Linked DNA regions of Callithrix jacchus. The protein of the gene in region 3 interacts with the protein of the main gene of each other region in a biochemical or structural test. Links are inferred from orthologs where the notes say so. Each region holds a gene or a part of one and is shown on either strand. Other genes may lie near its edges.

What was found.
Region 1: of the proteins of XIAP (region 3) and PTEN, one has a biochemical effect on the other in vitro, tested with the Homo sapiens proteins (2 studies listed by BioGRID). The link is inferred for Callithrix jacchus from reciprocal best matches to the Homo sapiens genes XIAP and PTEN.
Region 2: the proteins of XIAP (region 3) and UBE2M form a complex in vitro, tested with the Homo sapiens proteins (2 studies listed by BioGRID). The link is inferred for Callithrix jacchus from reciprocal best matches to the Homo sapiens genes XIAP and UBE2M.
Region 4: the proteins of XIAP (region 3) and HTRA4 form a complex in vitro, tested with the Homo sapiens proteins (2 studies listed by BioGRID and IntAct, with this or other methods). The link is inferred for Callithrix jacchus from reciprocal best matches to the Homo sapiens genes XIAP and HTRA4.
Region 5: of the proteins of XIAP (region 3) and HTRA3, one has a biochemical effect on the other in vitro, tested with the Homo sapiens proteins (3 studies listed by BioGRID and IntAct, with this or other methods). The link is inferred for Callithrix jacchus from reciprocal best matches to the Homo sapiens genes XIAP and HTRA3.
Region 6: the proteins of XIAP (region 3) and CASP9 form a complex in vitro, tested with the Homo sapiens proteins (12 studies listed by BioGRID and IntAct, with this or other methods). The link is inferred for Callithrix jacchus from reciprocal best matches to the Homo sapiens genes XIAP and CASP9.
Region 7: the proteins of XIAP (region 3) and HTRA1 form a complex in vitro, tested with the Homo sapiens proteins (2 studies listed by BioGRID and IntAct, with this or other methods). The link is inferred for Callithrix jacchus from reciprocal best matches to the Homo sapiens genes XIAP and HTRA1.

The regions. Positions count from the first base shown.
Region 1 is NC_133513.1:80,463,682-80,467,958, reverse strand, and holds the start of PTEN (phosphatidylinositol 3,4,5-trisphosphate 3-phosphatase and dual-specificity protein phosphatase PTEN), read right to left. Parts: upstream 2,801-4,277; 5' UTR 1,981-2,800; coding exon 1,902-1,980; exon of another isoform or gene 1,901-1,901; intron 1-1,900. UniProt on the Homo sapiens protein: Dual-specificity protein phosphatase, dephosphorylating tyrosine-, serine- and threonine-phosphorylated proteins.
Region 2 is NC_133523.1:51,191,836-51,196,131, reverse strand, and holds the start of UBE2M (NEDD8-conjugating enzyme Ubc12), read left to right. Parts: upstream 1-1,496; 5' UTR 1,497-1,699; coding exon 1,700-1,808; intron 1,809-2,891; coding exon 2,892-2,986; intron 2,987-3,114; coding exon 3,115-3,153; intron 3,154-3,254; coding exon 3,255-3,358; intron 3,359-3,665; coding exon 3,666-3,729; intron 3,730-3,811; coding exon 3,812-3,952; 3' UTR 3,953-4,296.
Region 3 is NC_133524.1:119,603,097-119,607,023, reverse strand, and holds the start of XIAP (E3 ubiquitin-protein ligase XIAP), read right to left. Parts: upstream 2,801-3,927; 5' UTR 2,595-2,800; intron 2,351-2,594; exon of another isoform or gene 2,225-2,350; intron 189-2,224; exon of another isoform or gene 1-188.
Region 4 is NC_133514.1:39,810,920-39,815,140, reverse strand, and holds the start of HTRA4 (serine protease HTRA4), read right to left. Parts: upstream 2,801-4,221; 5' UTR 1,522-2,800; coding exon 1,017-1,521; intron 720-1,016; coding exon 620-719; intron 1-619. UniProt on the Homo sapiens protein: Serine protease.
Region 5 is NC_133504.1:188,553,807-188,557,306, reverse strand, and holds part of HTRA3 (serine protease HTRA3), read right to left. Parts: intron 2,653-3,500; coding exon 2,538-2,652; intron 468-2,537; coding exon of another isoform or gene 445-467; exon of another isoform or gene 398-444; coding exon of another isoform or gene 357-397; exon of another isoform or gene 1-356. UniProt on the Homo sapiens protein: Serine protease that cleaves beta-casein/CSN2 as well as several extracellular matrix (ECM) proteoglycans such as decorin/DCN, biglycan/BGN and fibronectin/FN1.
Region 6 is NC_133508.1:52,841,305-52,845,350, forward strand, and holds the start of CASP9 (caspase-9), read right to left. Parts: upstream 2,801-4,046; 5' UTR 2,638-2,800; coding exon 2,506-2,637; intron 1-2,505. UniProt on the Homo sapiens protein: Involved in the activation cascade of caspases responsible for apoptosis execution. Binding of caspase-9 to Apaf-1 leads to activation of the protease which then cleaves and activates effector caspases caspase-3 (CASP3) or caspase-7 (CASP7).
Region 7 is NC_133513.1:115,916,281-115,919,780, reverse strand, and holds part of HTRA1 (serine protease HTRA1), read right to left. Parts: intron 2,550-3,500; coding exon 2,454-2,549; intron 348-2,453; coding exon 179-347; 3' UTR 1-178. UniProt on the Homo sapiens protein: Serine protease with a variety of targets, including extracellular matrix proteins such as fibronectin. HTRA1-generated fibronectin fragments further induce synovial cells to up-regulate MMP1 and MMP3 production.

The DNA.
Region 1 (4,277 bases), on a different chromosome or scaffold from region 3:
GAAGTCACAAAAGAATTTTTTCCATAATTATCTTTTGGGAAAGCGGGTCCAGTTCAGCCTTAGTAACATTTTCAATTAATGCAGACTTCAAACTTTGCAAATACTCTTTTAAAATACCACTTTTGACTTAACAGAAAACTAAATTTTGGAAAGCTACTTCTTCAGTAAGTTTTACATTCATTTCAAAACAAAAACATGGGCAAAATTAACTGTGCACATTTATATGCAGCTAACATAATCCAAGGGAATAAAACCTCTCCCTATATAAAATGTTTTCTTACAAAAAAAATATTCCCCACAATTTTTAGCAGGACACATAGACACTGTAGTGTCACTCTACCTTTAAACAAAATGCAACTGATGTTTGCTAAGAAATAATTTTTATTAAAAGTACTCTGCTAGTACTTATGCAATTACATAATTTTAGCTAAATATTGTCTGCCGCCACAATTCGTATGGCCAAATTCACATTACCAAATTTTAGGCCTTGATAGAGCCTAAATGCTTCAGTCACTTCAGACCAATAACTTAATCCTGTTTTCACATACCTTATACACTGACCTACCAATAGCTCTCAATTCCTGTCAATACTTTCCATTCTGCAAAAACAGGGCTCCATCCCCATTCTTAATCAAAATCAGTCTGTTTTACCTAAAACTGCAAAGATTAATGCTTTTCAACAACAACTAACTTTTGAAGCCCAAAGGCCTAACTTTTAGACACCTAAAGCTATACGCTGTTATAATTCTTGGGCTTCTGTCTTATTCAACGAGCTGACTCAGTAAATTTAATATACTGTATGAAAAAAGCTAACATATCTACAATCTAAAGCTGGAGTAAACCCCTCTTGCCGGCATTTTTGGATATTAGCTGGTAAAATACACTTGACATTCTACACGAATCAGTAAAATTAACAATACCAAAAAGTGTCAGAGGACCTGAAACCTAAAAAAGGTGAGCAGCAATTCTAGCATCACAATAATACTTAAATTTCAAGCATGAACTGAAGTTTCTGCATGAAGTGAAGTTTCTGCAATCTTCACTTGCTACACACAATACCCTTGAACCTACACGACATTGTCACCTGGGATCAAAAACTACTCAATCTCCATTCTATGTCTATGACAAGGGCAGTGAACATTAAATGCTACTGAAGTGCAAATCTCAAGCCCTATCCTACATCACCCCATAGGGAGAGAAAAAGGTAAATAAAACAAAGACCTAGTAAGAACGCCTTATAAGGTATATTATGGCACTATTGATTTCAAACTACAAAACTTCTAAATACAGTTCAAAATTGTAAGTTTAAACATTAACGAAACTACTTTTTGCTCTCAGTGTGCACCATATATACTGAAAACGATTCTGCTTCTAAAGTTATGCAAATCAGTCATATTTTAAAAGAATCTATCAATGCAACCCAGGAAACTAAAACAATCACTGCAAGATTCTGATGCAATATGCGTACGTGCAACACTAATTTTCATTTTATTCTAATCTATACCCTTGATCTAGAGCTTAAGCCAAGACTTAATCGAAATATGCTCAACCTCAAAGCATCTACTTTTTTGTTCATTTAGGAGACCGATTACCGAGCTCGCTAATCCACTAAGAGTGTACTGTATTCTGTATTAACGGACAATAGCCCTCAGGAAGAGACCACATAGATAGCCTAAGAAAGCAATCGGTGCCTTGACACTTGCAACCAGGCAAGAGTTCCGTCTAGCCGAACACACCCTACGTTGAATACACAGAAGAGAAACACAAAATACATGGCCTAACAACCTGACCAGGGTTAAATGTTATAGTCACCCAAACTACGGACATTTTCGCATCCGTCTACTCCCACGTTCTAAGAGAGTGACAGAAAGGCAAAGAGGAGCAGCCGCAGAAATGGATACAGGTCAAGTCTAAGTCGAATCCATCCTCTTGATATCTCCTTTTGTTTCTGCTAACGATCTCTTTGATGATGGCTGTCATGTCTGGGAGCCTGTGGCTGAAGAAAAAGGAGGAGAGAGATGGCAGAAGCTGCTGGTGGCGGGGCTTCTTCTGCAGGATGGAAATGGCTCTGGACTTGGCGGTAGCTGATGCCCCTCGCTCTGCTGCCGCTTGGCTCTGGACCGCAGCCGGGTAATGGCTGCTGCGACGGCTGCTGGATGGTTGCAGCGACTGGGCCTGCTTCTCCTCAGCAGCCAGAGGCCTGGCAGCGGCGGCAGCGGAATGGGGAGAAGACGAATAATCCTCGGAACGGCTGCCTCCTCCGGCGGCCTCCGGAGCCCGGGCCACGGGGGGTGCGGCGGCGGCGGAGGGGAGGTTTAAAACCGGCCCGGGTCCCTGGATGTGCCGCCGCCGCCGCCGCCGTGTTGGAGGCAGTAGAAGGGGAGAGACCAACTCTCCGGCGTTCCCAGCCCTGGAAATGGTGACAGGCAACTCAGACCCCCTCCTTGGAGCTGCAGCCGCCGCGGCCGCCGCCGCCGCCGCCGCTTTTCCCCCCCGCTCCAGGAGCGGGAGGTGCCGCCGCCGCCGCCGCCGCGCCTCAGCCGGCTCCCGCCCGAGCCCACGGCTTCCACCGTCCCTTTCAGGAGAAGCCGAGGAAGAGGCTGCACGGTTAGAAGACACGAAGAGGAGGCGAGAAACGCCGCCGCTGCCGCCACCGCAGGCCGGCCGGCTCCCCGAGGGCGCTGCCCCCGCGGCTGCTCACAGGCGCTGAGAGGGGCTCCGGGCCGCGGCCGCCGCCGTCTCTCATCTCCCTCGCCTGAGCCCGGCCTCGCCTCACAGCGGCTCAACTCTCAAACTTCCATCATGGCTGCAGCTTCCGAGAGGAGAGAACTGAGCGCAGTCGCGTCCCGGCAGCCGAGCGCGTATCCTGCCGCAGTGCACAAAGAGTCCCGCCACATCACCGTCCGCCGACCTGCCCGCCCCCTCCGCCGCCGCGCCAGGAGACCGGGCGCCTCAAGAGACCGAGGGGAGGCGGGTGGTGAGAGAGAGGCCGACGGGACCGCGCCGGGGGAGGGGAAGGCACGACCGGGGCGGTAGGAGGGGGCAGGAGCTGTAGTTCCAGGTGCGAGCGCAGAGCCCCCGCAAGCCGCAAGCTCTACTGAGCATGCCCAGTGTGCCTGCGCCGGTGGGGGGGGGGGGAAGCTCGCTCTGGTCGGTTCCGAGCCGCCCGCCTGCAGCTGCACTTGCCACGGCTGCTTTTGCGGCAACGCTAGGCGAGGATGAGCTAAACTTCAGCCTCTGCCCAGAAACGCAGCCGGAGGGAGGGTAGGCTGTTGCGGGGCGGGGGAGGGGGACTGATGATGAAAGCTGAGATGGGTGCATAGAGCAGTGTCACTGACTGGAGTCTGAGGTTACCTGTGCACAGGTGAAAAGGACCAGGTGGCCACACTAGTCAGTGTATAGGGATATGCAGAATACCCTCCCCCCTGCCTCTGCCCCTGGATTTCCGCGGCGTGACCTGCATTTGCTCTCTCCTTTTGCACCGCTGTGGGATCACAATCGTTCGCAGAGACTTGACTGTAGCTGTCTTTGCCTAGAAATCTCCCTTCCCCCCCACCCCACGACCCTGTGGCCTCAAGGTGTCAGAATTAGCACAAAGAGCAACCTGCTATTGTGTCTTCACCGTGTATCACCTCATCCGGCTCGGTTGCGGCGCCCCACCTCTCGCTTCCCCGGGTAACTCGGCTCGTTTGCCCTAAAAATGAAAGCTCTCAGCCGAGCGTGCTGAACGTGAACACATGGGCCTTGAATTTCCACGGCCCAAAGGGCACCTATTTAAATGAACTGCACGGGGATCCCTGTCAGTGGGACGCACTTCGCAGCCCTCTCCTGAGCCCGCTCCGGGGCCCCTAGGATAGTCGAGCATCTCTCCCCATCATACAGACTCCAACTCAGTTCGCCGCGTCGGACTCTAGCTGGGTCCTTAGAGACCACCTAGCTCCGCCCCTCCTTGGCCGCCGTGAAAACCCGGCAGGATGGATCGCCCGGGGCGAGGATCCACGCGCCCCGGCCGGACCGTGCACGTTCGGGGTTACCGGGCCGCGTGGAAAGTACGGAACGGTAAGAAGCTGCAGCCCAGCTAGTGGGCGGAGCGAGGAGACCTAGGAGGGTTCAAAAGGAGGTGGAAGGATACACGGGCCACAGTCGGAACTACTTTTCGAAGGAGGTCACGTGTGTTCCTAGTTGGGGAACTTTCCAAATTCCCACTCCCCAGTGATACCTCCGGAGGCAACTACTGTTCCTTTGCTCGGGGTGCTCTCGCCTGGTGCAGGCAGCGG
Region 2 (4,296 bases), on a different chromosome or scaffold from region 3:
ACACACACCCCTCCGGCGGGTGACTTGGGTGCAGGTAACACAGGGTGGAAAGCAGTTTCAAAGGGGGTCTATGTGCAGCAGGGTCCAGCTTGAACCTTAAACCCCAGTCAAGGTCTCACTCTGGCTAGGTATCGGGCTAGCCTTGGCCCTGGACATTTCAAGGAACTAAGACTCAAGGCTTGTTGTCCAAGCTTCTTCCAGGGGTGCAGCCAGACTTTCCCCTGCTGCTTCTAGTCACCCCAACCCACAAGGCTGGAGGCGTGGCCTCAGGGAAAGCAGACAAGCCACCCTTGGCCAGAGACCACTCCTGGGCGAGGAGCTGCAGAATCAGAGGGGTGGCGCCTGGGCCCCTCCGCAGGCAAGTGCCACCACACCAAGCGCTCGCGAGCACGATGGTTTCCGTGGTGACGGCGGAAGTGGCTGACCCGCAGGGTTCTGTTTCCTCCCGCCCTCCCAGACACACTGAGCTGCGATTGGATGGGAAGCTGACTCCCGCCTATATCCCCTTTTTCAGATAGTGGGTTGAAAGCCGTGAGACCGCAGTGCGTCTCTGCTGGAATTGGGGGCCCACTCCCAGAGCTGCCCGGCTCCGCCCCCACATCGCGTTCCCCAAGTGTCCAGCCCGACAGGTCTTCCTCTACACCACCTTAACCCTCCAGAGTGCTTACCACCATCTGGCACAATACATGTTTTGTTAGTTTACCTCAATCAGAATCTCCAGGAACTGGGATCTTTGGGTTTGCGATGGGACAATGAAGGTGCTCGACCTCGCACCCTCTGGGTAACGCCTCTAGTCTCACTCAGAGTCTCGCCGCGATCACCCTGCCTTTGTCTGTGACCCATGGGGTCAAAGGCTCTGACCCACCCGCGCCGCGCTCTGCACAAGTACAACATAGGATGAAGTGACCGCGAGCGAAACACCCCACGTCTGCCCCACTCAAAGATGGCGGCTAACCACACTTCCTGCCCGACCCCGCTAGAGTCACCGGAAGTGACCCGCCGGGCAGCCGAAGCGTCAACTCCAAGAACGGAAATACCCGAATCCAGCCGAAGGAGGCCGAACCCCAAACTCCATCCCTGAGCAACGCGAGTTTGCCGCGGCTGCGCAGGCGCACAACGCAGGCCGGGCGGGAAGACCCAAAGCGGACAGGCGGCGGAAATATCCGAAGCGGCGGGGCGCCCGAGGCCGTTACCGACCTCCGCGCTAAAGCCGCTGCTGCCGCGGAAACCGATCCTTCAGTACTCAGCCCCCGTCACCGCGGCTGCCCCGTCCTCCTCCCACCCCGAGCCGCAGCTCCCTCGCGGACGGATCAGCTGAGCGGCCAAACGGCGCGGCCGGGGGAAACCAGAGTCCGCAGCTGCGGCGGGGCCTGAGACCAGAGCGGGCGAGGGCAAGGAAGGAGCAGCCGGGGGCGATAGGGGCGGGGCCGGGCGGCCCGAGAACACCCGAGTTTGGCCGAGCGCTGCCGTTCGAGCCCGAGACTCCAGGCCAGGCCAGAGCCGGACTACGGGAGCCGAGTCGGGCCGCGCGGTGGGCGCGGAGCAGAGCAGAGCGGCGCGGCAGGCCGGGCGGGTGGCGAGAGCCGCGGAGGCCGCAGCGGCGGGTCCGAGGAGCAGAGGCGACGCGGGCGGCGGCGGGAGGCCGGGTGGCCGGGGTCCCGGGCCCCGCGGCGGCGGCAGCGGCGGCGGCGGCGGCAGGATGATCAAGCTGTTCTCGCTGAAGCAGCAGAAGAAGGAGGAGGAGTCGGCAGGCGGCACCAAGGGCAGCAGCAAGAAGGCGTCGGCGGCGCAGCTGCGGATCCAGAAGGGTAGGGGGTCAGGGGATGGGGCTGGAGCCAGAGTCGGAGTTCAGGGCCTGAGGCTGGGTGATGTGGGCGTCAGGAGGGGATCATGCGATCGCCGAGGGTCAGAGGTGGAGGGCCCCTAGTGTAGCGGGTCGGAGGTCAGGTCTTGAGGGTTGGGGTCATGCAGTCACGGGGAGGGGGGTCAGAGATAGGGGCCCAGTGTGTGGTGGTTTAGGATATTAGGAAGGCCTGTGTCTGGTACGAGGGACCCGGAATCTCAGAGTCAGGCAGTGGAGTGGAGGAGCTGGGGACTCGAGAGTCTGGGGGTTAGACGGGAACTTGGGTTTGGGATGACAGGAGGAGAGAGGGATAGTAGAGGCCAGGGGCTGGGGATATGAATGGGAGAAGACTCCGTGTATCTCAAGAGTCAGACGGGTGGACTAGGTTGGAGGACCCGAAACTCATGGGCCTCAGAGTCACAGCAATTTGGGGTATGGGGTGACAGGTGGTGGAGAGAAGGTTAGTGACTACCAGGGATTGGAGACAGGGGTGAGAAGAAATTTAGCCTATTGTGCTGTGAACCTCGGAGTCAGAGGGAGTGGGCTAGGGTGATGAGGGTTTGGGGACTTGAGAGTGTGGGGGTCAGGTGGGAAGAAGGCCTTTTTCTCTCTCAGAGAAAAAGGACAGTGAGGACTGAAAATTGGTGAGGGTAGGCAGGACCCTTGACTTTGGGTGGACAGGTAGGAACATCTTGGATGGGGAGCCTGGGATTCAGGGTGGTCAGAGGATATTTGGAGCGGGAGCATTTGGGAGCTATGGATGCAGAAAATTGGGCGTTTACCCTGGGCCAGGAGTTGGGACACGCAGACTGAACATACCTGTTTGGGGTATGCCATATATCCACAAGAGCCAAACAGGAGAAGGGAGAGGGCTGGAGGTGTGGAGCACAGCCCAGGACAGAGGCTTGGGGGTCCAGGAGGAGGCCATAGGGGCTGTGCTGACAACACCTGCCCTAAGTGTCCTGCTGTCTCCCTCTTTGTCACTTTTTCCCCCTCCCTCTTTCTCCCTCCCCCTTTCTTTCCCCAACTCTCTGCTGCCCAAACCCAGACATAAACGAGCTGAACCTGCCCAAGACGTGTGATATCAGCTTCTCAGATCCAGACGACCTCCTCAACTTCAAGCTGGTCATCTGTCCTGATGAGGTGAGGGTGCATATGGCTGGATTCACAGAAGCAGATCAAGAGTGTCCCCACTGAGAGGACGGAGACATGTTCTGTCAGGCCCCACAGGATTGAACCCTAAAATCTTCTTCTCCCCCTTTCCCTCCCAGGGCTTCTACAAGAGTGGGAAGTTTGTGTTCAGTTTTAAGGTGAGTCCCAGGTGGGCAGGGATGGCTGCCTGGACTGAGGAGGCAGCAGCTGAGGCCCTTCCAGGCACCAATCCATCTCCCTTTTCTTTTCCTGGAACCAGGTGGGCCAGGGTTATCCGCATGATCCCCCCAAGGTGAAGTGTGAGACAATGGTCTATCATCCCAACATTGACCTCGAGGGCAACGTCTGCCTCAACATCCTCAGGTGAGGGCACTGGCCCTCTACTGCCTTCCCCAGCCCTGCCTGTCATACCCCCCTCATGGTCTTCTGGGCACTACATCAGTCTCTGTGCCTACCCACCCCTTTGTTGTCTGTGGTTTCTTCATTTCCCAGTCATCTTCCTCATGGCCTGACCTTGGTTTTCTCCCTGTCCTGGCCTGCTCCACACCCTCCCTCCCAGTCTCCCACATCCTCACTCTCCTATGCCCTGGATCTGACCTGTCCAATATCAGAGGGGCCTATGGCAATCTCCCACTCACCAAGCCCTGACCCTGATGCTCTCTGTCCACAGAGAGGACTGGAAGCCAGTCCTTACGGTAAACTCCATAATTTATGGCCTGCAGTATCTCTTCTTGGTGAGTAGGAATAGGTGGTTGGGTTTGGGGAGATCGGTCTTCTGTCTCTCTGGCCTGTTGACCCCACCTGTACTGGCCACAGGAGCCCAACCCCGAGGACCCACTGAACAAGGAGGCCGCAGAGGTCCTGCAGAACAACCGGCGGCTGTTTGAGCAGAACGTGCAGCGTTCCATGCGGGGTGGCTACATCGGCTCCACCTACTTCGAGCGCTGCCTGAAATAGGGTTGGCGCACACCCACCCCCGCCACGGCCACAAGCCGTGGCGTCCCCTGCAAATATTTATTGGGGGCCACCGGCAGGGGGTTGGGGGGCAGCCGGTGGGGGAATTCCCTGCCTTGGCCTTGCCTCCCCTTCCTGCTACCTGCCCCTAGTTTGTTTTTTTTTTTTAAACCACCATGTGATTAAGGTCGGTGTTGCCTCCCCCGACCCACTCAGCAATGGGAAATGAATTGGCTTGTCTAGCCCCCTGCTGGGTGTTTGTTCAGCCCCCACTCTGGGCTGTGGAGTGGGTGGGCAAGGGGCCTGGGTAGCTGGGCCCAGGCAACCCACCCCTCCACCTCTGGAGG
Region 3 (3,927 bases):
GGAAATGGCTCGCAAGATCAACTTCCTGATGCGAAAGAATCGGGCAGATCCGTGGCAGGACTGCTGAGGCCTGTGGATGGGACACCCAGTGTGAAACCCTCATCCAGTTTTGTCTCCAACTCTTTTCTTTGTACAATCCCATTTCCTGTTACCATTCTCTATAATAAACTCAGTGACATGTTTAAAAAAAAAAATGTGTGCTACCAAAGCAAGTACTCAAATTTGATATTCTGAATGTGTTAAAGTTTGCTACTTTATTTGATAATGAAGCTTAGGACAATTTCTAAAAATATACAACTAGTAACATATTATTTTTACCATCTACATTAGGAGAGAGCAATACAAGAAAAACAAACGTAAGTATCCAATAATGAGGCCTGCTTTGTCAGCTGAGTTGGCTGGAATCATACCGGATTTTATGGTATAAACTACTGCTATGTATAAATACATATATGTATATAAATGTGCACATACCATCGGTATATACTTGCTTATATAGATATATATATATATTTGTGTGGGGGGGTGTGAACTTTAAAACTTCTTTTCAATTATAAAACAATACTAGAGGCCAGGTGCGGTGGCTCACACCTGTAATCCCAGCACTTTGGGAGGCCAAGGCAGATGAATCACAAGGTCAGGAGTTCAAGACCAGCCTGGACAAATGGTGAAACCCCGTCTCTACTAAATATACAAAAATTAGCCAGGCATGGTGGCATGCGCCTGTAATCCCAACTACTCAGGAGGCTGAGGCAGAGAACTGCTTAAACCTGGGAGGTGGAGGTTGAAGTGAGTTAAGATCATGCCACTGCACTCCAGCCTGGGCGACAGAATGAGACTCCATCTCAAAAAAAAAAAAAAAAAATCAATACTAGTTTATAACAAACTCAAACAGTACATTAGGTCATGTGAACTACTGCAAAGCAAAAAGTCTTCTACCTCTCTTCTTCCTCATAACTACTGTTAACCTTTTTATTGTGTATCCTTCAAGAAACTAAGCAAATGCAAGTATACACACGTACCTACCTGTGAAGGTGTGTGTATAAAAATCAGACAGATGCCACTTCTTGAATGTGGGGGTGGGGAGAAATCTCAAGTACTCCATACGCATGTTAAATACGTTGAAATACATAGAAAAGTGGTGGCAGAGTCACTGGTACAAAGTATTATACTCTTCAGAAATGAGTGTTGAATTGAATACATTTAATTTTTATGCCTGGAGGCGATATGGAGCAATTGCGCAGAAAGAGTGGTGGGCAAGAAGCCAGATAACACGGGTTCTAATCTAACTAGTTGGATAGCCTTAAGCAAGCCACAAAATCTTCCTAAGCAGTTGTTTCTGCTCTTGTAAAAGGACGGGGTTTGACTACGATCCCTTCCAACTCTAAAATGTTTTAATTCTAAGATGGCCGTCTGTAACATTGTTCTCTTGCGCTGGCTGTAATAAATATTATGGGGGAAAAAGATAACAAGAAAGAAACGCTACTGCAACCTCCAGTCTTCCAAGAGTAAATTTCTGTGAGTCATCAAACTATCAAAGTATAGTTGTGACAGAACTATCGACATAATTATATTTGAAAGCAAAGTAGTAGATTATTAAAATCTGAAAGTTTTTTTTTAAACAAAGCTTTGATTGACTTTTTCCTTTTTTGGAGGTGGAGAGGGCTACTGCTTAGTTTGAAAGAAACACTTCCCTCCCCGAAAAGAAAACAATTTAAGTGTTAGGGAGTTAAAATGATGAAACGAAGTCAAACTGACATTTTGTTTTACAGAACATGCTGGAAAGGTGACTGGGAAAGCAGAGTGGAAAGAATCACTAGCTAATTTCCTCTTCCGGAAGCTCTTTGGCCCTCATTCTTTCGGTTTCTTACGCCCCCTCCAGACACACTCCACCCTGCTCCACACAAGCCACAGGTATCACATGGGGAGGAAATCCCTTTGATCATATTTAAAAAGTTTTCTGCCTCAATTTACCTTAGGTGTCACAGGGTTTAGGAAGGCAGTACGCGGGCCTGAGGTCACCCACCCACCCACGCCTTCCGTCGACAGTCCGGGGAACCCGGGCAAGCAGCCCAGGCCGGGCCACCCATGCCGGGCAGGCGCGGCCTTCCCGCCCTCCCCAGCAGCGCCGGCCCGAGGGGAGTGGAGGGGAAAAGAGAGGGGAGGGAAGGAGAGGAGTAGAAGGGAAAGCGGGGGAGGGGAAAGCCTACACAGCTGTACCCACCGCGCCAGGACAGCCGGCCCCAACTGCCCGCAGCGATCGGCTCGGTCCAAGGGGAGGGTCCCGGAGGGGGCGCGGCCCAAGCCCCAATCTGGAAAAGCCAACTCTGCTCTGCGGCCTGGCCCCAGCCTAGGTGAAGGAAACGGAAGTCCCTTCGTCTCCCTCACGCGCCTCCACTGGCCGGCCCATCCCCTGGAGACACCCGTAGTCGCGAAACCCGAAGTGCGTCCACGTCAGGGCCTCAAAAAGATACTGGGCGCGGTCCGTCAGTCTCCCGGCCCGGGCAGTGTCCTTCCCACCCCCGGCCGGGAGGTCAGCCTCCTGCCCTGCAAAGCCCCTCCTTCTTCCCCCCCTCCGCCATTTTCCAACTTACCTTTTGGGCCGGGCGTCCCTCGATGAGTGCCGCACCCGCTCCGGGCGCCGCCAAGGTCCCGCCACCTCCCCAAACCGGAAGGGGGCAGTAAGATAAAATGAGGCCCTGGTAACCCCCCACCCGCGCCCCCCCCCACCCGCGTTCCAGCTGGAACCCAGAAGCTGACCTAGCGGGCGCACATGCGCAGTGAGCACCTCGTAGTCTCCGCCCCTAGCCTCAGCGTTTCTTCTTTTAGCCTCAAGGACGGTTTTTCCCACGGTTTTTACCTGTTGGGCTCTGGGATTGAGGAATAGGGGAAGAGAGATAAAAGGACGGAAAAGAGGAGGGAGAAGGGGCAAAAATGTTGAGTTCTTACTATAGACCAGGTACTGTGTTAGGCATGTAACCTGTTCTTTGTTGTACTGTTGGCAACCCTGTAAAATAAACACTGTTTTGGGGGGTTTAATTTTACAAAAGAAACTGAGGCCCAGAGGGAATAACTATCCCAATATCCCGCGGCTAATAAACAAAGTAACTGAGATTAGAATCGGATCTGTTTCCAAGAAGGGAAGGATGAAAGGGATGACGAGAAAGGGGGACCCTGGGAGAATGGCGAGGGGTTAAGATTGGGAAGTGAATGGAAAATTAATAGAGGAAAAAGAAAGCAGATGGACAGGAAACAAAGGAAGTCTGTGAACATAAAATGCTGGTCCTACCCTGGATTTATTTCAAATGCGTTGTAAGATTGTCAGATCAACATAGGAATTTTTGTTTCAGGAACATGGAATCTTAAAGGGTAATATAGTGAGATGATGGATTCTGAATATTTCATTTCAAATGAAATCAAGTGATGCAAGATACTTATGGTCCTCCCTTCACAACTAGGGAACTTGGAGGGAGGAGAGGAAATACTTTTCTTAAAAACTCCTTAGTTTCCTGTTTATTCTCCCCTTGGGCACGCTACCCTATCTTCTAATAAATCAGAACTACTCCTTCTGCCCCGCCCATTCTCAGTTTTCCTGCCTTAGGCTAATTTGCTCCAACTACTCCCTCTGCCTTCGAGAAAAGGCTGCCGGTGGCTGGGCGTGGTGGCTCACGCCTGTAATCCCAGCAGGGGTTCGAGACCAGTCTGACCAACGAAACCCCGTCTCTACTAGAAATACAAAAATTAGCCTGGCGTGGTGGGGCACACCTGTAGTCCCAGCTACTCATGAGGCAGGAGAATCGCTTGAACCTGGGAGGCGGAGGTTGCAGTGAGCCGAGATCGCACCACTGCACTCCAGCCTGCCTGGGCAACAGATCGAGACTCGGTCTCAAAAGGAAAAAAAAAAGACTGCCTGTACACAAAGCCTTC
Region 4 (4,221 bases), on a different chromosome or scaffold from region 3:
TGCAAAGTGGGAGCTGAGCAATATCACGACCAAAATGCCTGCTAAGCTGGGTGCAGTGGCTCACACCCATAATCCCAGCACCTCGGGAGGCCAAGGTGGCAGATCATTTGGGCTCAGGAGTTCGAGACCAGCCTGGGCAACTTAACAAGACCCTATCTGTACAAAAAATACAAATATTAGCTGGGTGTGGTGGCAATGCCTGTAGTCCCAGTTACCCCAGAGGCTGAGGTGGGAAGATTACTTGAGCCCGGTAGATGGAGCTGCAGTGAGCCGTGATCTGTCACTGCAATTCAGCCTTGGAGACATAGCAAGACCTTGTCTCAAAGAAAAGAAAATGCCTACTAGCTCTTATATCTGACCTTCAATTTTGTCTGTGCAAGGACGGGGGAAAAGCCCCAGCTACCTAAGGGGGCAGGGGGAGCTCGGGTTTGGAAGTCAGCATCCGCGTGCCTCTGCTCGTTAGTCAAATGACCTTGAACAGGTTATTCAACCTCTTTGCGTCTCAGTTTCCTTACAGCGGTTTTTTGGGATTAAATGACGCTTGAGAAGGGCCTGGCGCAGGTACGCAGGCAGGAACCACTAGCTGGGCCAGTAAGAGGTCTTCCTCCTCCCCCTTTACCTGCGCCACAGCTGCAAGTGAACCACCGATGGCGCCACCTTCTCCACCACCGGGGCGATGAAGTTGTAATTGCTCCTGAGCGGGCCTGCGCTCCTGGTCCCTATTCAAAAAATACCAGCTCAAGGGTACGCCTCGAGGGAACCAGACCTGCTATGCTGGTTGGGAAAATGTTAAAGGCAAGACAGTGTTCAAAACGTGCATGGGGAGAAACCACGCAGCAGCCAGTAAAGAGCCCCTGTTAAGTAAGAAAGGAAATCGGGAACAGTGAGATCGAGTCCAGGAGGCAAATGACTCAGGAGGACCCCGCGCGAACTGTGCGGTCGCAGTGAAGTCTTGTGTCTATACGCTCCTCCAGAGTTAGAAAGCGTCCCGAGGGCGCGCGCCCCCCGCGGCTCACCTGTATCCCTGCAGTCCCCCCACTGCACCGGCACCGCTGGCACCTCGCCCCGGCGGCGCGCGGCGCGGTTGTTCGCCCGGAGCGCGCACAGGCTAGGGTAGGTGCGTCTGTCGCTGCCGCACACGGCCGCCCCCAGCGTCGGGCAGCCGCAGGTGCTGGGCAGCCAGGGGCCCAGCGACTGGAGACACTGCAGCCCCGGGGCACACGGCCGGCCCCGCGCCCCGCCGCAGACTTCACCCTCGGCCGCCGGGCAGACGCGGCAGCAGCGGCACAGGTCTAACACCGGCGCGGTACCCAGCGCGCAGCGGGGCAGCGCGGGGCAACGCGTGGGCTGGCAGACCGCGGGGCACGCCAGCTGGGCGTGTAGCCTCTTAGCCCCGGCCCAGGGGACGGGCACCAGGAGCAGCAGTAGCCCCGGCAGGAGGCATGGTCCCAGCCCAGCAGGCCGAAGCTGAGGTCTAATCATCCTTCTTCCTTCCTCGTTTCCACTCTTCAGTGACTTCATCTGGACCTGCAAACGCTCCTAAATGAGCGACACTTTCTCCCGGCCATGGCGCCGCCTCCGCTGGCCCCCAAACTTTAAGGGGCAGAGCCTGGCATACCTCTCCATATACACACCCGTACATTCCCCACCACCCGCCCCCGTCCCTACCCGGAGCCAGGTCCTCCCCCAGGCAGTGAAGGGAAGGTCTCCAGCACTACCCGGAGTGGGAACCTACCTTGTGAAATCCCTAAAACCGACCATGGGGGCAGACTGATAAGAAAGCTCACTCACCTAAAGGTCAGAAGGTCAGTATTAGCAAAACACACGACCATATTTCAGTATTTCACATGGTTTTATTACAAAACAAGCCACAAAACAGTTTTAGAAAAATTTTGCTACATACCAATTAGGAGATCACACAAAATGAGAAGCGTAACAGTTTCCATGCACCCAGCCTAGTGCTTACAGCAAGTGCATTTCACAGCTGAAAACATCACTGCTTTAAAACACAGAATCATGCTACCCCTTCATAAGCAGAGGGGGAGGAGGTCAAACAGTATGTTTTTGCCAAACATGTGCTTTATCTGAACTCTGTCTAGCATGAAGGACTGGCTGTCGCAGGCAGTAACACGGAGAAGAAAAGGAACAAAGGAAGAAAAGGGTGCTGGCAGACAAGATTTAACAAACCTGTCCACTTCCAACTTGTCAGAAGTTTATAAACAAAGTTCACGTGGGACACTCAATTTCCAAAATGCTGTGACCTCCACCTATGTTATCTGATTTATACTGAAAACAAACCTACTAAATTCCACTCCTCAACTACTAAAGCTGCTGTTTATTCATGGGGTCCTTTTAGCTCATATAAGTGTATATTTATATTCGGAAATGGAAAAGAAAAAGCTTTTGCTTCAAATAGACTAAAAAGCTGGACCTTAAAACTACTTTCTTTCTCTTGGGAGCTGAGAATTCGACTCAGAAATAGATATATGACTCCGATATTCTGACCCGAGGTCAATCTCTATAATGTATGCCTCAATACCCTTATGACTTCTCACTTAACACTAAGGGCCAAATTATTTTTGCCAACCATCAGCTGACCCTGAATAAGCAAGTTGATAGAAGCTTTCAAAAATACTGGATGGTGGCTCACGCCTATAAAAAAAACCAGGCGTGGTGGCTCACACCTATAATGTGAGTACTTTGGGAGGCTGTGAGGACGGAATCACTTAAGCCCAGGAGGTCCAGACTGCAGTGAGCCATGATCAGGCCACTGCACTCCAGCCTGGTGACAGAGTGAAACACTGTTTCTAAAAATAAAAATTAAAGATTAATGGATGGCATTATCCAGCCATAAGGAAGACCACCTGGAATACTGTTATACACAGTGGGTCAAGACCACTTAAAAAGCCTTATGAAAAGAGCACAGCTCAGGTGAGGTTTTTATTCCACAAAGAAAATGCAGTACATTTTTTAGTTCCTTTAAACCTCAGATTTATTCCAGAGCCTATGCACTTAGTCACTAACCTATACTCTGTTTCCACCCTATTTTTTCCATTTGGTTCAATTGTATACATTTAAAACTAACTGCACTGGTCAAATACGTACCATCTTTGGTTCACATTAAAAGATTATGGTTGGCTGGGCACGGTGGCTCACGCCTATAATCCCAGCACTTTGGGAGGCCAAGGCGGGTGGATCACGAGGTCAAGAGATCAAGACCATCGTAGTCAACAAGGTGAAACACTGTCTCTACTAAAAATACAAAAATTAGCTGGGCATGGTGGTGCACGCCTGTAGTCCCAGCTACTCGGGAGGCTGAGGCAGGAGAATTGCTTGAACCCAGGAGGCGGAGGTTACGGTGAGCCTAGATCGTGCCATTGCATTCCAGTCTGGGTAACAACAGCGAAACTCCGTCTCAAAAAATAATAATAAAAATTAAAAAATTAAATATTATGGTTTAAAATTGGCCAGAAGGTATTAAATATTGACAAAAAAGGAAGTTTGAAATACAGTTTTGGAATGAGAATGCCCTTAGAGTTTGTTTCATTAACAATAATAATTTATCTGATATTGAACTACATTAACAATGTTCTGGCTGGGCACAGTAGCTCACACCTGTAATCCCAGCACTTTAGGAGGCCGAGGCAGGAGTATCACTTGAGCCCAGGAGTTTGAGATCAGCCTGGGCAACATAGCCAGGCCCTGTACATAAAAAATAGTAATAATTAAAAATTAGCCAGGCATGGTAGCACAACCCTGTAGTCGTAGCTACTTGGGAAGCTAATATGGGAGGATTGCTTAGCCCAGGAATTCAAAGATATGATGAACTGTAATCACATGACTACACTGTAGCCTGGGTAACAGAGTGAGACCCTGTCTCTTAAAAATTAAAATATATATATATATATATATATATATACACACACACACACACACACACAAGCAATGCTCTAACTTGGAATTCCCAACTGTTTGCCAATCAGCGTCCTCATTTCCCTTTATCAAGATAATACCATATGGATCCTAAGTATGTTTAATTTAACACATTCTCCTTATTATAATGGCCAATTACTTTAGCAATAGTAATCTATCGGATAATTTATTTAAAAGAGAGAGAGATAGATAAATGGGTAGATTTTAACAATGTAAACATCAAAAGAGAACATTTTTTTCCGTGAGTCAGGGAATATTTAAAGAGATCTCAAAAGTTCTATTTTCATT
Region 5 (3,500 bases), on a different chromosome or scaffold from region 3:
AGTCGCCTCCCGGCTCAGTGTGTGCAAAGAGCAGCTCCCCTGGTTTCCAGAAAATGGGCCACAGTCAAAGGCGCCCACGGAGAACGGGACAATTCAACAGGAAAGGCTCGGTCGTGAGGGAAAGGAGCTCCATTAGGGAAAGGAGGTCTGGGCGTACCCGTGGATCTAGTTCTGAGCTTCCTAGAAGCCAACAGGGAATGGGCTCAAGAGGTCGGATGGCGCCCGCTGTTCAAGAGAAGAAGACTTCAGCTTCCCTGGGAAAGACAGGCTCTGCCTGGCTCCAGATCGCCTTCCCATAATGGACACAGAAGAACAGTGGCGGCATCCTCAACAGCAGCTCTTCCTGTGGCCAGCCCTCATGGCACCGGCCTGGCTGCACTGGGGTCCATGTACTTGCCTGGCGGGGTCATGGAGGAGGGGACAAGCATGAGGAAGCCCTTGCTCTCAATGAACTGCCAGTGAGGGGGCTGGGAGGAGACAGGAAAGCAACGTGGCAGTGTGAGTTGCTGAGTCAGGCCTGGGCATTGACCAGGAGGTGGGCATGGGAGACACAAGGGCAGGAGGGAGAAGCTCACTAGGGCTGAAGAGAAAGTGGGGAGGTGGAGGCCCCCAAAAAAGGCCCTGCAATCAGAAGTATAGCCCTGCTCTGGAAGGTGGCTGTGACCACCCACTGAAGGAGGGGATGGGCGTCCTCTCACTTGGGAGAGTTGCCAAGTGCCCCAGTGAGACCTCTCCCAGATGGGTGCTCATGGCAGGCTAGGTGTGGGCAGGGTGGGCTGGACATCCCTACTGGAAGAGGGTGAGGAAATGGGGGCTTGAAAGAGGGTGACTTCCAAGGACCAGGATATTGAACTACCCTTGCATAGAGGAGTCTCTACCATGTGATCTGCATGGCCCACAGCCTGGAAGCGGGAGTACTCAGGAGTGGGCAGATGATGGAAGAAAGGAAGAATAGAGGGATAGGGATCAAGGGACATCTAGGTGGGCAGACGGATGGATGGATGGGTAGGTGACAGGTGAATGAGTGGGTGGGTGGAGGGGTGGAAGGAAAGAGAGAAGAAAGAAAGGAAAAAATGAAGGAAGAAATGGTGGATGGGTGGGTGAATGGGTGGGTGGGTGGGTGGGTGGGTGGACGGGTGGATGGATGAATAGATGGGTGGATGGATGGATGGATGGATGGATAGATGAATGATGGAAGAATTGTTGGGTGAAAGAAGAAATGAGTGGTTGCGTGAGTGGATGGGTGGATGGTTGGATATAGGATGGATGGATAATAGGTGGATGGATAAATGGGTAAATGGTGAGTGGGTGGGTAGATGGATGATGAATAGGTGGATGGATGAATGGGTGAATGGCTGGGTAGGTGGGTGGATAGATGGGTGGATGGATGATGGATAGGTGGATGGATAGTAAATGGATGGATGGAAAGATGGGTGGATGAATGGGTAAATGGGTGGAAAGCTGTGGGTGGATGTATGGATGCATGGATGGATGGATGGATGGATGGATGGATGGATGGATGGATGGATTGATGGGGGGATAGGTGGGTGGATGGATGGATGGATGCATGGATGGATGGGTGGATTGATGGGTGGATAGGTGGGTGGGTAGATGGATGGATGGATGGATAGGTGAGTGGATGGGTGGAGAGGTGAGTGGATGGATGGATAGATGGATGGATGGGTGGATAGGTGGGTGGTTGGATGGATGGGTGGATAGGTGGGTGGTTGGATGGATGGATGGATTGATGGGTGGATAGGTGGGTGGGTGGGTGGGTGGATGGATGGATGGATGGATGGATGGATGGATGGATGGATGGACGGACAGGTGGATAGGTGAGTGGATGGATAGATAGATGGATGGATAGGTGAGTGGATAGGTGAGTGGATGGATGGATAGATTGATGGGTGAATAGGTGGGTGGGTGGGTGGATGGGTGGGTGGATGGATGGATGGATGGGTGGATAGGTGAGTGGATGGATGGATAGATTGATGGGTGGATAGGTGGGTGGGTGGGTGGGTGGGTGGATGGATGGATGGATGGATGGGTGGATAGGTGAGTGGATGGATGGATAGATTGATGGGTGAATAGGTGGGTGGGTGGGTGGATGGGTGGGTGGATGGATGGATGGATGGGTGGATAGGTGAGTGGATGGATGGATGAGTGGATAGGTGAGTGGATAGATGGATAGATGGATGGAAGGAAAGAAACAGCTGACAACTAAGGGAGAGCCCAGATAAGAGGAGTCCAGAAAGTGCAAGAAACTGATGGTGGGAGCTGAGATCAGAGATCCCCAGACAAAGGGAGATCGCTTTGGAGGGGCAGGGGGTGAATGTGACCACGAATTGATGATAGGCAGGGGGGAAGACCCTGCCAGAGGCTGAGAATAAGCTGTCCCGGGGGTCTCCTAGCTTCGGGGTGGAAGACAGGACCTGGCCGGTAGTGAGCAAGGTTCACCCAGGACCTCCAACGGGCCCTGGCCCCAGTGCTGGGGGGTTAGTGCCTCTGCCTCTGGCCCCTCCAGGTGAGCTCTTTACCTTTGATGTGCTTGTCTTGGAATTCTGTGAGGAAGCGCGTGATTCGGTCGGAGGGGATGGCAAAGGAGATGCCCGCTGTGACCTTGAGCGTGTTGATGCCAATGACCTCGCCATCCTGGGCAGGAAGGTAAGAGCAGGCATCAGTTGGGGGAACCCAGGCAAACCCCTGCCAACAAAGCACTGTGTCCATGGCTCTTTCTAGAGGAGGATCCTGGCTGCCAATCCCCAAAGCCCTGACTCTCCTGAAAAGGTCACTCTCAGGGCCACACCTGGGTCAGTGACCCACCTCTGCAAGCCCTGGAGACGCCCCTCCCCAGACCTGGAGAGTATTTCCAGGGAAGCCTGCAGCTCAGGCCTGTCCCCAGGCTCTGGCCACTCTGCCTCTAAGAAGCAGGGCCACTGGGCCAAGGGCAGTGCCAAGCCACACTTGGAGAGATTGAGAGGGGAAGGAACATGGTGAGGCGTGTCGGGGACTGAGACTCCATCTATCCTTTCCTTACAGAAGCGGGGGTCTGGTGGGTGAGGCCAGGGGAGCTCACTGACTCCCCACTCCCTCTCTTTGGAGCCCCTCCCAACCTGCCCTTCCCCCCATGAGTCTAGTGCCACCTGGGCAGGATCTCACCTTGCCCCTAGGGACCTCACACTCGGGTACGCGGCTGGAAAGGAGCCCCACACCACCTGGCATGTACCCGTGGCCGTGCCCTCCTGGCCAGGGCCTGGCCAGCTCACCAGGGGACCCTCTGGGCCCCAGGGCAGAGTCTTGGATCAAGGTACCCTTTGTCCTCCTGGTCCCTGAAAGCTCATGAGGCAGGAAGAGCAGCCCAGTGTGCGATGCCGTGGGCTGAGTTCTGTGTCTGGCCTTGGCCCTCTGTGCTCGTCTCTACTGCCTGGACCACATGGAGTAGCCTCCAGGGCCTGGCTTCCTGGCCTCCAGCCTAAACCACACACACGAGCTTCCCCAAA
Region 6 (4,046 bases), on a different chromosome or scaffold from region 3:
AAATTTACCTTTAATTAACCACATGTGGCCAATGGCTACTGCTGTGAACAACACAGACCTGTAGTTGAGTCTCACTAGCAGAACAGTTGACTATGTGCAAACAGATGGTGGTGGTTGGATTTCTCTCCACATTTGCTGAGCACTCCAGGAGGTCAGCACTGTGTTAAATGCATTGTTTCACCTTTTTCTCCCTCAATAACCTTACAAAGTTAAATTTCAATTTCCCAACATTTTAGGGCAAAAAATTTCAGGGAAATTGAGTCACAGAAAGGGTTTTTGTTTGTTTGGTTCATCGAGTGTGGCTTTTTACAACCTGCCAATATGTAACAAAGCTAGGATGAGAGTCCAGATCCAACTGGCTCCAAAACCTGTGGGTTTTTCAGCCATACCAGGGTGGCAAAATCGCAACCCGTGGTTCCCACAAAGTTCTTTAAAAATTTCTGAATTTGTTGCTAACATTTTAAGCCAGGATTTAAGCCAGGGAATTTGACAGAGGAATCAAGATTTCCAACTTCTTTCTTAAAATGGGAAAGCTGGGTTGGGTGCAGTGGCTCATGCCTGTAATCCCAACACTGAGGCAGAAGAATCACTTGAGGCCAGGAGTTTGAGACCCATCTGGGCAACACAGTAAGACTCCCATCTGTACAAAAAAATAAAATTTAATTTAAGTTATCCGGGCATGGTGGCATGTGCCTAAAGTCCCAGCTACTCTAAAGGCTGAGGCAGGAAGACCACTTAAGCCCAGGAGGTCAAGGTGGCAGTGAGCCATGATCTCACCACTGTACTCCAGGCTGGGCAAGAATGAGACCCTGCCTCCGAAGAAGCAAAAGATCTGGCAATCCTGGGCCATGTGCGGATATGGCCATATCCAGCCTCAGCTGGAGACGGAGGGCAGTGCAAAGGCTATCCACTATGATGCCCATCCATCAAGCCTCCATGGGCATTGATCCCTGTGAACATCCCTGAAAACAACGACTGTGGCCTCAAACCACTTCTGTTCCCCAGTAGGGGTCACACAGAAGTCACAAGACTTCTTTTATTATTAATGAATAATTACTCATATGATACTCAATTATTATATTTATATTTTTTTGAGACAGAGTTTCGCTCTTGTTACCCAGGCTGGAGTGCAATTGCGCGATCTCGGCTCACTACAACCTCCGCCTCCTGGATTCAGGCAATTCTCCTCCCTCAGCCTCCTGAGTAGCTGGGATTACAGGCACGCACCACCATGCCCAACTAATTTTTTTTTGTATTTTTAGTAGAGACGGGGTTTCACCATGTTGACCAGGATGGTCTGGATCTCTTGACCTCATGATCCACCTGCCTCGGCCTCCCAAAGTGCTGGGATTACAGGCGTGAGCCACTGTGCCCGGCCGATACTCAATTATTTAAAGGCTCTTTCACTGGGACCAGGGCACCGGCTGGGGATATCCAGCCAGCCACTCACACCCACTGTACCTCATGGTGGGAAATAACTCCTTTGTCCTCACAGGCCTGTGGTGAGGGTCACGTGAGACAAAGATGGGAAAGTGATTTTAAAGAAAACCTTAGATGTTTGACTTTATTATTCTCCATTGCCTGCATCAGGTCCCCTATTTCCAAAACCTCTAAACAAAACATAAATTGAACACAGAAAGGGCTGGCCTAAGAGGGCAGGGCAGACAGCCTGAGGGTCTGTGCCTGGCTCTACACTGTTTCACATCCATTAACTCATTTAGTCCTCATTACAGTATTATTGTATTCCCATTTCACAGCCCAGGAAACTGTGGCTCAAAGAGAGTAAGTGACTGGCCCAAGAACAGGCTGCCAGGCAGTCTGATGCCAAAGCGGGTGGCCGAAACCTCTACGCTAGAAAAGCAAAAACACACACACCTCCTTCCTTGCAAGTGTTAAAAAGTAAATTAAAATGGAGACTAACCCTGAAGAATTCCTGAGCAGACAATACTAATCAGGCATCCTAAGTGACCTAAATATTGTTTAAACTGCAAAGATAAGCAAAATTTAACCTGGGTCATATCTGATAAATGCTTATGTTAGAGAGAAGCAAAACTTAACTCTAGTCAATCATAAGCAAGCATAAACAATGAAGACCTTTTTTTAAAAAGGCAATTTTGTAACTGCAAACCAATCAAATAATTCCTCTATTTTGCTTCCACGTTTTCCCAATAAATACTTGCCTCTGACGCTTTGCCACTGCAACACTAAACCTCTTTCAGTTTGATGCTCTCCAATTCAAGAACTGCTTCTTACTCAGTTTTCAAAATGTGTCTCACATTTTTCATTTACACAAGACACTCCTGCACTAACAGTGTACTCTGAGCATGGCGTGGAATCGCTTTAGCGAACACCCGACTAAGAAAGAGGTGTTTGGGATTCTTTGGCTCCGCTGGGGGACTAGAACCCACCCACAGGGAAAGCTGGGCTCCCACACAATGGCTCTTCGAGGGGTGTGGGGACCTGGTCGTGCAGCGCGGGAACAGGAGGCCGGGGGCGGGGGCGCACCTGGATGTCCTCGATCATGTGGGGCTTGAACAGCTCGCGGCTCAGCAAGGCGTCCCAGAGCTGGTCCACCCGCAGCTCCTCCACCAGCAGCCGCCGGTGCCGCTGCAGAAGCAGCCGGTCCGCTTCGTTCATGGCGAGCAGCCTCCACCGTCCGCTTCCGGGCCTCGGCAGCGCGCCCAGGTCCCTAGGACCCGCCCTTGCTTCCAGATCCCGCCCCCGCGTCACTGCCCCGGGTCAGTCTTAGCTACAACGCCTCAGGACGCATCTCCAAGGCCTCGCCCCGCCTCCAGGAGTCGCTCTTGCGTCACCGCCCCGGCCTTAGGACGCCCCTCCGGTCGTCGCCCCGCCCCCAAGGCGAAACGTCACTTCCCTACCCCGCCTCAGAACCCGCCCTCGCGTCACCGCCCCGCCTCCAGGACACATCTCCAAGGCCTCGCCCCGCCCCCAGGATTCGCTCTTGCGTCATCGACCCGCCCCAGGATTCAACCCGCGCCCCAACCCTCCCCCAAGGTTAATCTTGTGCCACCTCCCCGCCCCCAAGGTCTAGCCTCGCGCTACCGCCCCGCCTCCAAGAATCAACCCCTCCACTTACCCCACCCTCAGAATCGTCCTTGCGTCACTGCCCAGCCTCAGGCTCCAGCTCGCATCCCCACCCCTTCCCCAAAGTCAATCACGTCCCCAAGATCCATCCTTCCGTCACCGCCCCGTCCCGAGGCGGCACTTCCGCGCCTCGCCCCGCCCCCAGGGCCCAGCCCAGCCCCCGCGTCACCGCCCCCTCCGGGCGCAGGTGCCCCTTTGCAATTGTGGCACCAGTTCCTGGTCCACGGCGGGCCCCTCGCCAGAATTCACTACGGCCCCGCTTTTACAGAGGTTCGAAAGGAGTTGTCAGACTTCTAGCAAAAAGGAAACCATTTGTGGAGCCATGGTCTGTCCCGCCCCATTCAACCTCCTCCTGGGCATGGCTTCCCCTTAGCCTCCTCCTCCACCCCAAATAAAACCATAAGCTCCCCCCCTCAACCCTGTGCCCACATCGCAGATGGCTGTTCCAAACTCGAGTGTCTGATCCGACCAAGCCCACTTTACACAATCTTCCTTTCCCTCTTCCCTCCCTCCCACCCTAACACCTCTCACACAGAAAAAAAAAAGCTGGCAGTAATCTAGTCCTCTAACCTCCCATCGTTTTGAACAGTTCATTTTCACATTTCAAAAATAATCGTTTCTGTTTAGTGGGCATTTGCTAAGTCCCAGGCATCGTGCTAACCACTTTTCAAGCTTATCTCATTTCTCCCTAACTACAATCCTGCCAAGAAAGTATTCCCGCCCCCCGCCTTCCGCCAATTTTACAGATGTAGAGACCCTAGGGTTCAGGGAAACGGATGTTTAAGGTCATATGAGTAGTAGTGGCCGAGGTGGACAGGATTGAAACCCGAATCTGACTTTATAGGCCATACTCGAAGAATCTAAGAGTCTTAGAATATAATCGCTTGAACTGCAACACCTCAGCCCCATTTATTCACTTATTCTACGAATATTTATTGAGC
Region 7 (3,500 bases), on a different chromosome or scaffold from region 3:
TTACATTTGTTTTGCCTGCAAACTATCAAGAAGGATTCTGTTGGCCAGGGAGTCTCCACTGAACCAGCAAAATGGCGGTCAAAAGTCTTGAGTGTCCTATGCCAGCAGCCCAGAGTCCTCATCCGTCATCCACGGGAGAGTCTTTGAGGGAAACATGAAGTCCAGCTCATGCCTCTGCCTATGGGTCGATTTCTTCAGGAATCACTGTGATCATGATGTCTTCATTGCCCCTGCGGACCACCATGTTCAGGGTGCTTTCCCTTTTAATGACGTCGCTGACATCATTGGCAGAGACCACCGACTGTCCATTGATGCTGATGATGACGTCGTTTTCCTGGAGACCACCTCTGCAACACAAGGGAATCACAATGGGAATGATTTGTGTTTCCACTCCTCCTGGTCTGACTTTACATGGACAGAGGCACAGTTTAGAACCTAAAAGCCCAGAGCAAATAGGATTGAATGGAGGTGAACTTAGAAAAATTTAAACCATTAGTGGCTCATGCCTGTAATCCCAGCACTTTGGGAGGCAGAGGCAGGTGGATCACCTGAGGTCAGGAGTTCGAGACCAGCCTGGCCAACATGGCCACATCCTGTCTCTACTAAAAAAAAAAAAAAAATTAGCCAGGTTTGATGGTGGGCACCTGTAATCTCAGCTATGCAGAGGCTGAGGCAAGAGACTCCCTTGAACCCAGGAGGTGGAGGTTGTAGTGAGCCAAGATTGTGCCACTACACTCCAGCCTGGGCAACAGAGTGGGATTCCATCTCAAAAAAAAACAAAAAACTTTTTTTAAACCATCAGTGGATTGAATTACTTATTGAGTTTTTTTAAATAATGTTCTTTTTTTTCCCTTTTTTCTTTCTTTTTTTTTTTTTTTTGTTTGAGATGAGGTCTCACCTGTTGCCCATGCTAGTCTCAGACTCCTGGGCTCAAAAGATTTCTTCTGCTCCAGCCTCCTGAATTGCTGGGATTACACGCATGGGCCATGATGCTGGGCTCCTTTTGAGATTTGTAGGCTAAACCATCAACTGTGTCCACTGTAGAAATGCCTACTAACACTTGTGTGGCCTTACGACCCCAAGGAGGTCAAAGGTCAAGATTGACCCCGAAGTGGCGAAGGATGCACCGGGTCCTATCTGCCATGAAGCATGACCATGGCCAACTTGCCTGTCATGGGTATTGCAAGTCAGAATGCAGTTCTTACAGGGTGGGCGGAATGCTTCTGTTAAGAGACCCTTCCTCTGTGTGGTTGCCACTATAACCGTAGCTCTCACATAGGTCAGTGTCAAAATGCTGTCATGGTCCTTAACGGGCTAGCACAGGGGTCTGCGAGTGTTTTCCGTAAAGGGCTCCATAGGAAATATTTTTAGCTTTGCCGTATATATCACCTCTGTTGAAGCTACTCAACTCTGCTATTCCAGCACAAAAGCCCCCCAAGACGTCACAAACCATATTTCAGTGGACACTGAAATTTGAATTTCATACAAATTTAACATTTTACAAAATACTATTCTTATTTCAGGATTTTTCTGACCATTTAAATGTTGTCACTCATAAGTGGGAGCTAAGCTACAAGGACGCAAAGGCTTAAGAATGATACAGTGAACTTTGGGGACTCAAGGGGAAAGGTTGGGAAGGGGGTGAGGGATAAAAGACTACAAATTGGGTGCAGTGCACACTGCTTGTGTGATGGGAGCACCAAAATCCCACGAATCACCACTAATGTAACCACTACTCATGTAACATGAGTGACATGTACTCATGTACACTACTCATGTAACCAAACACCACCTGTTCCCCCAAAACCCATGAAAATAAAAAGGTAAAAAAATAAGTAAAAATCAAAATAAAATGCAAAAATTATTCCTAGCCCACAGCTCCATACAAAAGCAGGCAGTGGGCCAGATCCGGCCCCCAGGGCACATTTGCTGGCCCCAGTCTGGCACTTTTCTCTGGATATTCCACCAATACGGTAACAAACCCTGATGGATGTTTGAGCTACTTCTTGTCATGCTGCTTTGATATCACTAGGGCTATTTTTCTGCAGGTGTTGACAGGTATGGCCTCACTGTCAGAGACAATCTGAGAAGACTCCAGGAGGAGGAGGGTCCCGAAGCCTAGAACAGGACTATCGTGTGAAGTCTTAGGGACACTGTTCCTGAAACCCTCTCTCCCCAGCCAGGCCATCCCAGAGACTCATTACGAGTCTGCTATTGCTCTGTCCATCTGGAGGGCCCTAGCGGAGCGAGGACTTCCGAAGATAAAAGTCACCGTCCTATGGATGAGTCCTGACCAATAGGAATGACTAGCAATGTCAGACCACGTGTGTCAAGGATCAGCACAATCATCTGAGCCAGTATAAAAGGAACACTGCCCCCTCTTCCTGCTACCCTCCCCGCCCTCTCCAAGAACCACAGACACATGAGGAAAAGGGAAAATAACTCTAACTCACGCTTCTGCCGGGGTATCAGGAATTACTTCAATGATATACGCTCCTGAGATCACGTCTGGGAAGTCCCGGTGCCGGTCCTTCAGCTCCTGGGCTTTGCTGCTCCAGAGAGAAAGCACCCGTGTTAGTGTCAAGAAATACCAGGCCTTCCCCAGGCAGAACTCAGCTCTCAGCAGTTCCCTTCTTCTCCCTGGGTCTAATGTAAAATTTCTCCAGGAGTTCTGATTCTGCTTTAAAATTGCCTGTCTACCAGAGCCAAAGATTTACCTGGTAACAGCAAGAAAAGTGCTTTCATCATTATTATTCTCTCTTTTTTCTTTTTTTCTTTTTTGAGACTGAGTCTCACTCTATCGCCCAGGCTAGAGTGTAGTGTTGCAATCTCAAGTTTACTGCAACCTCTGTTTCACAGGTTCAAACAATTCTCCTGCCTCAATTACCCCAGTATCTGGGATTACAGGTGCCTGCCACCAAGTGCGGCTAATTTTTCACATTTTTAGTAGAGACTGCATTCCACAAATTGACCAGGCTGGTCTCGAACTCCTGGTCTCAAGAGATCTGCTCACCTTTGCCTCCCAAAGTTCTGGGATTACAGGTGTGAGCCACTGCGCCCAGCCATCATCACTGTTATTATTTCTTAATTAATAGTAGCCATTACTAAGGAGTCAGTAAAGTATAATGGCTGACCTGGTTTGCAGCCCTAGCTCTGCCACTTGCGAGCTGTGTGACCTGAGACGGTTGCTTAACCTCTCTGTCCCTTCATTTCCTCGCCTGCAAAATGTAGGGTAACAGTACCCTACAACGTGAGTTATGAGGATCAGATGAGGTCGCCCCAGTAAGGTGCCTGGCCCAGTACATGTGATAAATAGTGGCTGGCATCACTGTGGCTGGTGATCACTGCCCCCACTCCCTGATCTGAGCCTGGCCACCAGAAGCACCTGTGCTGTCATCCCCATCCTGAAGAGGAGGAAACTGAGGCACTCAGGGGTCAGATCATTCCCAAGGTCACAAGGCACGAAGTATCAGAGCTGAGACAGGAACCCAGCAAGCTGG